Linked DNA regions of Elephas maximus indicus. The protein of the gene in region 1 purifies or fractionates together with the protein of each later gene. This does not show direct contact. Links are inferred from orthologs where the notes say so. Each region holds a gene or a part of one and is shown on either strand. Other genes may lie near its edges. The genes, in order: YAP1, AMOTL2 and AMOT.

Evidence for each region.
Region 2: the proteins of YAP1 (region 1) and AMOTL2 purify together in Homo sapiens (affinity purification with mass spectrometry; 10 studies listed by BioGRID and IntAct, with this or other methods). This does not show direct contact. The link is inferred for Elephas maximus indicus from reciprocal best matches to the Homo sapiens genes YAP1 and AMOTL2.
Region 3: the proteins of YAP1 (region 1) and AMOT purify together in Homo sapiens (affinity purification with western blotting; 17 studies listed by BioGRID and IntAct, with this or other methods). This does not show direct contact. The link is inferred for Elephas maximus indicus from reciprocal best matches to the Homo sapiens genes YAP1 and AMOT.

What each region holds. Positions count from the first base shown.
Region 1 is NC_064825.1:18,549,668-18,553,411, forward strand, and holds the start of YAP1 (transcriptional coactivator YAP1), read right to left. Parts: upstream 2,691-3,744; 5' UTR 2,598-2,690; coding exon 2,277-2,597; intron 1-2,276. UniProt on the Homo sapiens protein: Transcriptional regulator with dual roles as a coactivator and corepressor. Critical downstream regulatory target in the Hippo signaling pathway, crucial for organ size control and tumor suppression by restricting proliferation and promoting apoptosis.
Region 2 is NC_064844.1:45,190,548-45,194,291, forward strand, and holds the start of AMOTL2 (angiomotin-like protein 2), read left to right. Parts: upstream 1-974; 5' UTR 975-1,169; intron 1,170-1,195; exon of another isoform or gene 1,196-1,812; intron 1,813-3,469; 5' UTR 3,470-3,530; coding exon 3,531-3,744. UniProt on the Homo sapiens protein: Regulates the translocation of phosphorylated SRC to peripheral cell-matrix adhesion sites. Required for proper architecture of actin filaments.
Region 3 is NC_064846.1:44,575,958-44,579,701, reverse strand, and holds the start of AMOT (angiomotin), read right to left. Parts: upstream 2,208-3,744; 5' UTR 1,492-2,207; intron 1-1,491.

The DNA.
Region 1 (3,744 bases):
CCCATATGAAAATAGAAAATTCTAACTTTTTGATAAAACCCTAACCAATGGGTTAAAAAAAAATTATACTCAATTTTGAACAGTATGAATTTGTGTTGTAAATACTATTGTTCATAAACTCTTGAATGTAAATTCTTAGGTTTATGTCATATATCCAAACCGAACCCACTGCCATCAAGTCAATTCTGACTCATATCAACCCTATAGGACGGAGAACTGCCCCACAGGGTTTTCAAGGCTGTAGTCTTTGTGGATTAATCTTGATGGATTACAGCCCTGGAAACCCTATGGGGCAGTTCTCCTCTACAGGTTCGCTATGAGTCAGAATTGACTCCACAGCAGTGGGTTTGGTTTGGTTATATGATATAAACCTAAGAATTTACATCTAACAGTTTATGAACAGTAGTATTTACAACACAAATTCATACTATTCAAAATATAGTGTTTTTTTTTTAATCCATTGATTAGAATTAGAGTTTGATTATCAGAAGGTTAGAATTTCCTACATTCATATGGGCAAGGAAGGGAGACTGCCCACCAACTGCTGGATATAAATTCTTGTGTAATTACTTATTAGAAGAATAAGTTCACTTTTCAGTTGCAATTCTTTTTGGTTTATAGATGCCACAAAATGGGGAATTCAATCTCCTGTGTGCATTATACTTATAGTAAGTAAATAGCACCGTAGTTTGTACTCTGTAGGGTGCATGCCTACACACTTTATCCATAACGAGCCCAGAAGCTCACCTGCAGGGTTAAAGAAAAAAGCATACCTAAGTCTACCTCTTACAAATTGTTTAGGCAAGCAGCTAAACTGTTTTTTTCTATCACGTCCTTAACCCGGGTTTTTGACAGTAAGCTTTTCTGAGTTCCAAAATTCCTTCGGTTTGCCCACAAGAATATACTACAGGCCTGCAAATATGAGGAGGAATGGGAGTGGGTGGGGGGGGGGAACCTCTTCTTTCCACTCAAGTTACAGCCCGAGTGGACAAACTACGATGCAGTATTTGGAAAACCAATTAGCTTTTGGCCAAAGTTCCTATGCTGAAGTTTAGCCATAGCAACTTCTTCAAAAAAAAAAAAAGGGGGGGGGGCGACACCTACAAAAGCCTTCAGTAAAAAAAAATATATATATATACCTACCGGGACCTACTGGAATGTTAAAACTTTCCTAATAAATAGTTCCACTTCAATATTAAAACAAGTTGACAAAATAGTCGAACGTTGTGTTTGCGGAAAAGCAGCCATGTTCATATCCTCAATAAGAATTAAAAAGCAATGGCGATCCTAGAATTAGTCATCGCTTCCCAAACATTAACTTTTAATCAGAGTTGAACCAGGCAGGACTTGGCCTATGAGTCAACCTGCAGGGTATTATCAAAGGCTGTGTGTTAAAACCTCGGTACTGTAAAGCTCAACTCAGGTCCTGCGCAACGTGCAGATGTGGCTAATTTAAAAGCATTTCAGCAGACTGTAAATAATAGCCTAAAATTGGGAAACCAACACATGAATCTACCGAGTTTGATAAGAGTGAGCCTGCCTGAGTTCCAAGCGCAAGGGAAGTGCAGGAGTGAAAGAACGAACTCCATAAACAACTTCCAGGAAAGTCTGGGCAGGGGAAGCCCGGATCCTGTATTCCGAATGGGCCGGGGCAGCGAGGAAAATAAATGCTTTCGGTCGGGGGAGGGGGAGAAAGAGCAAGAAAACGAACAGCACTAGTTCCACCCCCACCCCCTAATCAACACTGGAAAACAAGAGAACAATTATTTGACTCCCCAGGAGACTGAAGAGGACCGAGAGGCCCCGAAGGAAAAGGGGCCCAGGGCTCAACTTCACAAACTCGGCCGCCGCTGGCAACTCACCCACTCGGATGCCAGAGGCCCCCCTCCCCCTCCCCGGGCCGCGGCTGGAGCGAAGGTGCGGAGCGCGCGGAGACGCGCGCATTGTGCAAGCCCACCGCGGCCCGGGCGGGCTCTCCCCACCCCCTTCCTTCCTCCCCACCTCCCCCTTCACTCCCGCCAACCTCCTGGGAACCCCGGGAAGAAAGAAAGAAAGGAAGAAGGGCAGAGCGCACCCCCTGGGGCTGCAACCGCAGAAACTCCAAAGGGAAAAACAAATCTCGGCCCCGGACTCCAGGAAGAGTGGGGAGCCGAAAACCGCGGCCGAGCGGGGGCCTCCAGTTCCTCCAACTCACCGGGATAGCCCTACCCCTCGCCAGGGTTCCCGGAATCCCCACCCCGACCTGGGGCCCGCCCGACAGGGAAGGGGTAGGTTACCTGTCGGTTGTGGGATTTGGGCTCCGGCGGCTTAAAGAAGGAGTCCGGCAGCTTCCGGAGCCTCATGGGCACGGTCGGGGGCACGTTGGCCGTCTTGGGGTTCATGACGGCGTTGAAGAGCGCCTCCAGGTCGGTCTCCGAGTCCCCCCGGACGTGCACGATCTGGTGCCCGGCGGGGGGGGCCTGCGGCGCCGCCTGGGATCCCCGGGGCGCCGGCTGCCCGGGCCCGGACGGCGGGTCCTGCCCCTGGGGGGGCTGCGCGGGCGTCTGCCCTTGGCCCTGGGGGGCAGGCTGAGGCGGCGGCTGCTGCCCGGCATCCATGGCTTCTGCCTCTCCCGACGCGCACCCCCTGACCAGGCGGGCGAGGGCTCCGCCCGGGCGGCCCGGCTCGACGGGCCGAGACTAGAGAAGCGGCGAGGGCGGCGGGCCGGGCGGCGCTGGGCGTCGGGAGCGGCGCGCTCCTCGCTCTTAGGGCCGAGGGGCTGCGCCGCGGCCCCGCATCCCCCGCCCCGGCGCCTCCGCCCCCGCCCTGCGCCCGGGCTCCACTGGTCTGGCGGCTGCGCCTCGGGAGGGGCTGAGAGAGACCCGGACCTGCGGCGCCTGAGAACTTTTTTCCCCTTCAACTCCCTTGACTGAAGCCGGACAACTAGTCGCCTTTCCCCTCCCCCTTTCTCTTTTATTTCCTTTTCTTGTTCCTTCCTTCCTCCCTTTCTTTTCCCCGGCGGCGGCTGTGCCCGACTGAGACAGAAACTCGCCTCAGACGCCAAAACTGAAGTTGAGAGAACTGCCCGCCCGAGCCGCTCGCCGGCTCCGCCTCCTCCCAGCTCTTCCTTCCTCTGCGCGCCCGCCCGCACCGAATCCGCGGCCGGCCGCCGAGGGAAACTTTTCCCTGCAAGTTACTACATTCCTGCAAACTCCCAGCTTCCAATGCCTCTCCCAGCCGCACGTGACCAACTCGCCCTCAACCCAGTCCTTCGCCTGTGCTTCAAGGGCAGAGGCTGAGGGGGTGCTTGGACCTCCGCGCCGCGAGGACTGACGGCCGGGCGGATGGGAAACGTTGGGTCCAAACTGGGTCTGAGCTCTCGTCTGTGCAGAGAACGCGGCCGCCCTTGGCCGCAGGAAGTTCTTCCGCCCCGCCCGGTCCCTCCCCGCCGATCCTCGGAAAAAGGCTCGGTCCAGCTCGCCAGGAGATGCGAAATGGCTAAGGCCGAAAGAAGCCTGGAGAGGGTGAAACTCCACTTAAACCCTCCCCGCGTTAGCTCGACTTAAACCAGCAGTAGTGTCAATACGGGGTTAAAGGCGCAAAAATAGGTTGGAGTTAGAATAGGTACCAGTAACAGGCACCGATCTTAACAAATGTCTGTTTAACAGTAACTGGATTTTGTAGTTTTTCACTCACCTCTTTGCATGCAAAAAAAGGATAAATGATCACAGCATCTAGATAGTTTGTGGCTAGTTCTGTGACTCA
Region 2 (3,744 bases), on another chromosome or scaffold:
GCCAGCAGAGCTCCACTCAGTTGGTTACCAAAACAAACAAACAAAATCCATTGTTTCCGACTTGATTCCGACTCATACTGACCCTACAGGACCAAGTAGAACGGCCCCATAGGGTTTCCAAGGAGCTGCTGGTGGATTCGAACTGCCGGTCTTTTGGTTACCAACCAAACACTTAACCACTGCACCACCAGGGCCCCATTCAGTTCGTTAAAATCAAAACCCATTGCCGTCGATTCCAACTCATAGCGACCCTATAGGACAGAGAAGTACAGCCTCATAGTTTTCAAGGAGCGCATGGTGGAGTTGAACTGCTGACCTTTTGGTTAGCAGCCATAGCACCTAACTACTATGCCACCAGGGTTTCCAATTCAGTTGGTTAGGTGGGTCAAATTAACCACAAGATTTTTCAACCCAGACTGACATTTCCTGTGGATCCAAAAAATACGGGTCCTAAAAGAGCTGTTGAAGGTGTCTGTAAACAATAAAAGTGCAATTCAAAGGTTGCCGCTGGGCGTGAAAGCAGTGGGGGTTAGGGACCAGGCTCAGTCGCAGAAAGCAAAGTCATTTCTTCGCCTGGGGTATGGTCCAGGCCAGGCCGATCTAGGCCTCCCTGCTGCTTCACACACACAAGCTGCGCTGTCGTCCCCTCCTGCAGCAATGCCGGGAGGCGGGAGTCCCTCCGTATTGTTCTGCCAAAGGGTTTAGGGGTGAAGGAATGAGAAGAAGGGGAGAACGGGGGCGGTACGGGGTCCAGAACTGGGAGAAAAATCGGCCCCAGCAGCTTCGACGGAAAAGGGCAGCCACGAGGCCCCTGGGCTGCCCAGGCGGGGAGCTCAGCTGCCGCCGGACGCCCAGCCCGCAGGACCGCCTCCCCGGAGGAAGGCGGGGGCCGAGAGGAGCGAACGGGAGGAGGCGAAGGGCGGAGGAGGGCGGCGGGCTGCGAGGTTATTTGTGGTTCTCTTTGATCCCGAGGGGGAACCTGAAACGCTCACATTCCTGGCATAGCAGCCGCCTCCGGCGCGGGCCGACCCTGGGGCTGCGCGTTGAGGCCAGAGCAGCCAGAGCGTCGGCGCCACTGCTGGGTGCACACCTCCGCCGCCGAGCTGAGTCGAGCAGAGCCAGGCCGGGCCGTCGGTTCCGACTGCGCGGGGCACCCACGGGCCTCAAGGGTAAGGAAGGCCGCTTGGCGCTCCGGGGAGCGCGCAAGGCCAGCAAAGACGCGACCCAGCCGAAGGCCGAGCCTTGGCGCAACCCGGCGTTTTCCGGGAGCCGGAGCCCCGCCGGTTGAGCGTCCTCAAGGCGCAGTGCGCACTTTCGAGGCGGCGGCAAAGCCGGGAAAGGGCCTTTCCGCCCAGGTGACAACGCGCCTTGCGCCCGGGTATCTCGAATTGCGCCGGTCCCCTGCGCTTGGGGAGGGTGCAGCCTCTAGGGAGATCAGGGTCGGTGTTTTGGGTCTCCGTTCGGGCATCGTGGCGCGGAACAGGGCTGGAGTCGCCGCTTCGAGTTCAGGTTGCAGGGCCTTGGGGGTTGGTTTGGTTAGGTAGGGGGGTTACAGGTGTCTTTGCCCCCAGCTAGCCCAAGAATTCGTCTTTGTCTTCCTTGGAAAATCCTCTCTGGAGCCACTAACCGGCTCTCACGTAGAAAGAATGCAGCCTGCAGTCCAGCCCGGTGACGTCAGCGCTAGAGTATTCGGAAAACAAAGAGGGCTTGGAAGGGGGAGAGGCGAACCCCGGACGCTTAAAGACCTCTTCAGGCCTTGAGCTGCGCTCGCCCGCTTCCTCCTGGCGCACCGGTGGCCACCGAGTGCTTATGGTCAGTTGGGAATAGGGGTAGGGCGAGCGTGAGCCCAGGCTAAGGCCAGAGATGCGTTCCTGCTTAGAAAAGGGGTGGCTGGGTGGGTGAGTTTAGAGAGCAGGGAGCGCTAGCGCAGCAGAGGCTGGGGTTGGGGGCGCAGATTTTAGTAAGGGCTCAGCCCTTTGGTATGGGAAAGGATGTGCAGCCGGCGGCCTGACAGGCGTAAACTCAAGGATGAGAAGCCCCAGGAGTGTGCTCTGCTCTCTAGCATAGTGTTGGGGGCCTGGAATCCGTCGGGAGGAGGATTCTGCCGCCCCCCCACCCCCACCCCCCGCCTTCCTCAGCCGGAGACAGCCCAGACAGTGATTAACTTAGGAAATGCCCTAAAGATGATGAAACTCCAGGGCAAATTGGCCTGTTTGCTCTTTTCGTCGCTGAAAACCCCGGGGTCTTGCATCTCTACTCGGGGGGCGGGGGGGGACACGGAATGGGTACCAGAAAGGTTGAGGACGGGGTGCCCTCCTGCCTCACCCCCCCGCCCGGGGCTGGTGGAGTCCTGGGGAGGAGAGAGTGGACTGGGAATGGCTGTTCTGTCCACATGCCAAGACCAAACTGAGGAAGGGCCCTGGGGCTAGCTTTGTGCCAGAGGAGGGCTGCATTCCTCCTGCTCCCCGCCCCCCCAAGACCTGTGGAGGTGTGGGTTTTGTTTGGTTTTGCCTGAATTCTGGTTTGAAGGTTTGTGTTAGAGGAGGCTGTGGAAAGGAGGCCGGGCAGGTGGGCAGCCTTCCAGGGCATGAGCCAGTGAGATGCCCAGTCTTAGAAGGGAACAACACCTTCTTTGGATACTCGTCTCCCTGCACTTTGGGCTCACAACCCCCGGGGTCCCTGCAACCCAAGGCCTCCCAATTTCCCCCTTCGCTCCTCCAGTTGGCTCAAGTAGGTGTTACTGATGTTACAAAAGATGCTGAGTGCCCATCTCCTGTATGCCTAGAGGGCCCGCAGGGGCTTTTCCAAATAGCAAGGTTGGGGGAAAGCGGGGAGAGGTGATCATAGGGCTGAAGGCATCATGCCCCTCCTTTCATTTTCCTGGAGTACCCATGCAGTTACTGTCGGCACACAGAGACTATGTGGCTAACCCACTCACCTTGATGGGTAGGATCTTTTTGCCTCAACTCACACATTGTCCTACTGCACCCTCCCGTCTTTCATCCCTTATCCACCACTTTAGATGCATTTTCTTCTTCCTGTGTACTAGCAGAGTGACTGCCAAGGTCATCCCATGACAGGGAGCCCTGAGTTCATTCTGTCAACAGCCCTTGATTAAACAGAGCCCAGGGTCTGCCCTCCAGGGAGCTCGCTGGTTCAGGGGAAAGCAAGGGAGGTGGGTAGTAGGCTCAGGGGGTAAAGGGTAGTGGGTTGGCTGTGCCGAAGCCAGGGCTCAGGCATGCTTCCTTTGGGGTAGATCTGGCTAGATCTGAGCTGGTCCCCATGGGCCTGCCCTTGAATCACTCATCTGCAGGGGCTGTGATTGCTGATTGATGACCTTCTGGGCTGCTGTTGTCTTCCTCTAGTTGTAGTAAGTCTTTGTGAATATTATTATGGTTGGACCAGGCTGTAATGGAAAGTCCTCCCCTTGCCCACGTGCTCCCACTCATTGTTCTCTCTCTCCTCTCAGGTGCTCTGGGCCCAGGTGCTGCTGGCCATTCTCCAGGCAGGTGTGTGCAAGCCAAGGAAGAATGAGGACGCTAGAAGACTCCTCGGGGACAGTCCTGCACCGCCTCATCCAGGAGCAGCTGCGCTATGGCAACCTGACCGAGACACGCACACTGCTGGCCATCCAGCAGCAGGCCCTGCGGGGTGGGGCTGGAGGCACAGGGAGCCCCCAAGCCTCCCTGGAGATCCTGGCACCTGAGGACAGTCAGGTGCTGCAGCAGGCCACGCGGCAAGAGC
Region 3 (3,744 bases), on another chromosome or scaffold:
TACTCTACAACCACCTGGCTATTAAAATGTCCCAGGCCAGTTATAAAGTGCAGTTTGGTCAAGCCAGCTCTTCCCTCCCAGCTGATCTGAAACGTGATAGCCTTTAAAATTGTCACCCTGCAAAGTTCCTTCTCTCCCTGCTTTCCTTTCTCTTATTAAAATCAACCAAAGAAATTATTTTAAAATATAAGGAAATAATATGTTCCCAAATAAGCAACGGGTTGGGGACATTTCGGTAATAGATCTTTGAACACCACCATTTTTATAAGCTTGTCATACTTACCCAATTGGAAATAAGTAGGAGATGGGTGAAGTTGTATCCCATGTCGAAAATGGTATTTCAAACTATTCTTAGTTACTAAATGGGGGTGCTCAAAGGACTAACTGAGAAGGCTTCACAAAGGCTGTCCCAAGAAAGAACTTTTCACAAAGCCTAGTTCAAGGAGTCTTACATACCCTTAGCCCTCCAACATTAAAGAATATGGTGACTAATTATCTTCCTTTCTGAATAGAAGAGGATTAATTAATAAAAATTTTTAAACTGCTTCCAAATTTCCACCCTTCATGGGAGGGGAACTGAACTAAAACACCCTAAAGTGTCTTTGTAAAGTATCTACTAGAGATTGGAAATGCTGTTTCTCACAAACCTTTCCTTTTTTTCTCTCATTTAATTGTGTTTAGTCCCTTGTTGCAAATTATTATAATATTACTAGTGGCAATTTACAGGGGACTGCTCACAGTCTACAAAGACTGTCACTTTCCCTAATTTTCCTTCTCTTTATTTTCAAATATTGATGAAGTCCATCTTGCTGTTGAAGCACCTACGCAGTGGCCTGGGCTTGGGACCCTCACGACACCTGCCTGATCCCGAAAAACTAGTTAACCAACATTATTAAACCTTATAAAGCTGATAAGGGGCTACCGCCCCTACCCACCACCAGCGACACACACATACACCAAAAGGAGCGTAGCGTGATAGATTACTCCCAGAATTTAAGACCTCAAGAATTCAACACCCCCCAGCCGGACTTCACTTGCCGCCCATCCCCCGCCTGGAGGAGTGGAGTGTTAGCCCCCATCCCTACCCTAAGCACAGAGGAGAAACTCATCTAGTCATCTGAAATAAGAGCAGATATTCCTGCTGGGCCAAACGTAAATCTCGGTTTCCCTTGAGTCTTTAGTTTCTTATGTGATTAATTGCCTAGAGACCTACAAGGACCCCAGAAGACAAGGAAGTTAAAGAACCATCAAGTTGTGGTACCCACTAGCATCTCCTTGCCGAAGTAGGACGGAAAAGGAGTGCACACTCTTTAATCGATTTAACTTGCTGCACATGCTGGAAAACTCACGGCCAGCTGCAAAGAAAGTAGAGCGCACGGGCATCTCTACAAGCTTCTAGAGCGAATCACTCACGCCGAGGGCACGACCAAGTTCATGCCACCATTAATTCCTGCCCCAGTTCCCCGTAAAAAGTAACCACACTTCTCCTACCCCTGAAGGCAACGAAGACAGGGTGACGGCTCTCTGCTCGCTCAGGTGGCTTCAGTCCCGGGCCAGCGGCCAGGGATGGGCAGGGGGAAGCCCCAACTCCCGGCTGCTCTCCTCCTCACTGCTCCGTCCGGTCTCTCCTTAGTGGCAGTGGACAGGCAGGATACCGGGCCGGAGGGTGGAGCAGCGGATGATCCGAGGCTAGACAGACTCGAGGTGGGAGGGCGGGGGAAGAGAACTAGGGGAAAAGGAGGCGAGGAAAGCAGGGATGGAGGAGTAATTCAAGGGGTCTACCAGCTTGGACAGCCAGAAAGCTTGGACAGCCAGAAAGCTCCTAGGAAGGAAGGGGCGTGACTGCGATGAAGGCAGCTCCTGGGCAAAGGATGGGAGGTAGGGGAGGGGGACGAATGGGTGGCTTTTCTTCTTGCGGTGAGCGGCTAGGACCGCCCAGGAGAGGAGGGGTTGGCGGTGGACTAGGGTAGGAGGCGGAGTAGAGGGCGGGGAAAGAAGGGCGGGAGCCTGACTGGACCCTAGAGGGGGGAGGTGCGGAAGAGAGGCGGGGCCAGGGGGCGGGGAAGTTTCAAACAATTGAACGGCGGGGTCCAGGAGCTCCCGCGAAAGTGGGGGCCTTCGCTCCCGCCCTACTACGAACGTGGCATGGCTTGGTTCCGGGAGTACCGAAAGTCTACGCAAGGAGTGGTTGGGAGGAAGGAAAGGGTTTCGAAAAGACTACAATAATAATCTACGGCACAAGCGGAGCAGAGTCGCGTGGGAGAGCCAGTGCAGCTCTCCGCCCCACAGCGGGAAGCAGAAAAACAAATAATAGAAAAGCTGAGAAGCAGCTTCTGTCAAAGTCAGCTTCAAATAATGCAGGAAGAAGCAGCGCTCCTTCGTTTTCCTTCCCCTCTTGCTTCCTATTACCAGCAGGCCTCCACCCAGGTCACGGTTCTGCGAGACACCCTCCTTTCTTCCTCCGCTCCCCCTAGCCTTCGACCCCTCCCCCACCAAGCGCCTCCGCCCCTCCTTCTGACGGCAGGGGAAAGGTGGGCGGGGCTTGTGGAGCCTCCGCCTCTTGGGCGGGCTGAGAGAACTGGCCTGGGCGGAGCGGATCCAGAGGAGCAAATCCCACCCACCATTCTTTTGCAGCTTCCCGTTGGCGAATCCTACCTTAGCATTCCTTTCCGATTGGTCAATTGAGCCGTCAATCGCTCCTCTGCCTCACCCGCCCTCAAAATTGATAAAACTAAACAAGAAGCTATTGTCTCTCTTCTCCCCCAGCCACTTCTGGGAAAAGAAAGATGAGAAGCTTGATTTCTCAGTCTCTTTTTTTTTTTTTTTTAAAAAGAGTACGACAGTGTATCCGCAGACTGGGGTACACCTCTACGGCACTGTCTAGCACTTAGAATAGTAACTTTTCTTCCTCCTCAATACACCAGGTAGGGAGGGGTAAAACGTACCTGAAGTATCAATGTGGTGTTCATATTTCCGAGCTACGAAAAATTGCTGTTGCTTAAGAACACTGGGATTTGAGAACACCAGCTACCATTTTACAGCTGGGAAAACTAAAGCACCAAGAAACAGCATAGGGATAGCAGAATAACATGGAATTTGGAACCAAGGGAAGAATTCATTTCGGGCTCTGGCACTTATTAGCTAGTTGTTTGCCTTTGTTAAATCGTTTAATTTCCCTATCTGTAAATAAAGGCTATAAGACATGCCCTATTAACTTCCTGGCATTGGTAAGGAAATAAAATGTGTGTGAAAACTCTGTAAACCACAAAGCACTCCACAAATGTATGTGTTCCTACTGTGTACGACACATGGCAGAGAGTCTCTCATATGAGTTTGGGAATCATATTCTGCTCATCTGTTTTAAGCATTTACATCCAAGGTGTGTAGGTTCTGCGGCTTTCTTTTAAAAAATCAACTTTTTTCCTACAGCTTTAAAGGTGGATATGAAATTGGCTCCCTGCAGTTAGAATAATAAATTGCCCCTTTTCTAACCAGGGTGGGTGAGATTTCTTTTTTAAACAGTTCTGCAGTGGCGCCACGACCTAAATCTATTGTGGTGCTGGTACTGAAAGAGGAAATCATGCTGTGTATCTCTGAAGTGAACTTGAAAAAACAAATATGAGGAACATTTACCATGGAAACCACCATTCTCTTCTTGTTGTTGTTAGGTGCCATAGAGTCAGTTCCGACTCATAGTGACTCTGTGTACAACAGAATGAAACTGCCCAGTCCTGTACCATCCTC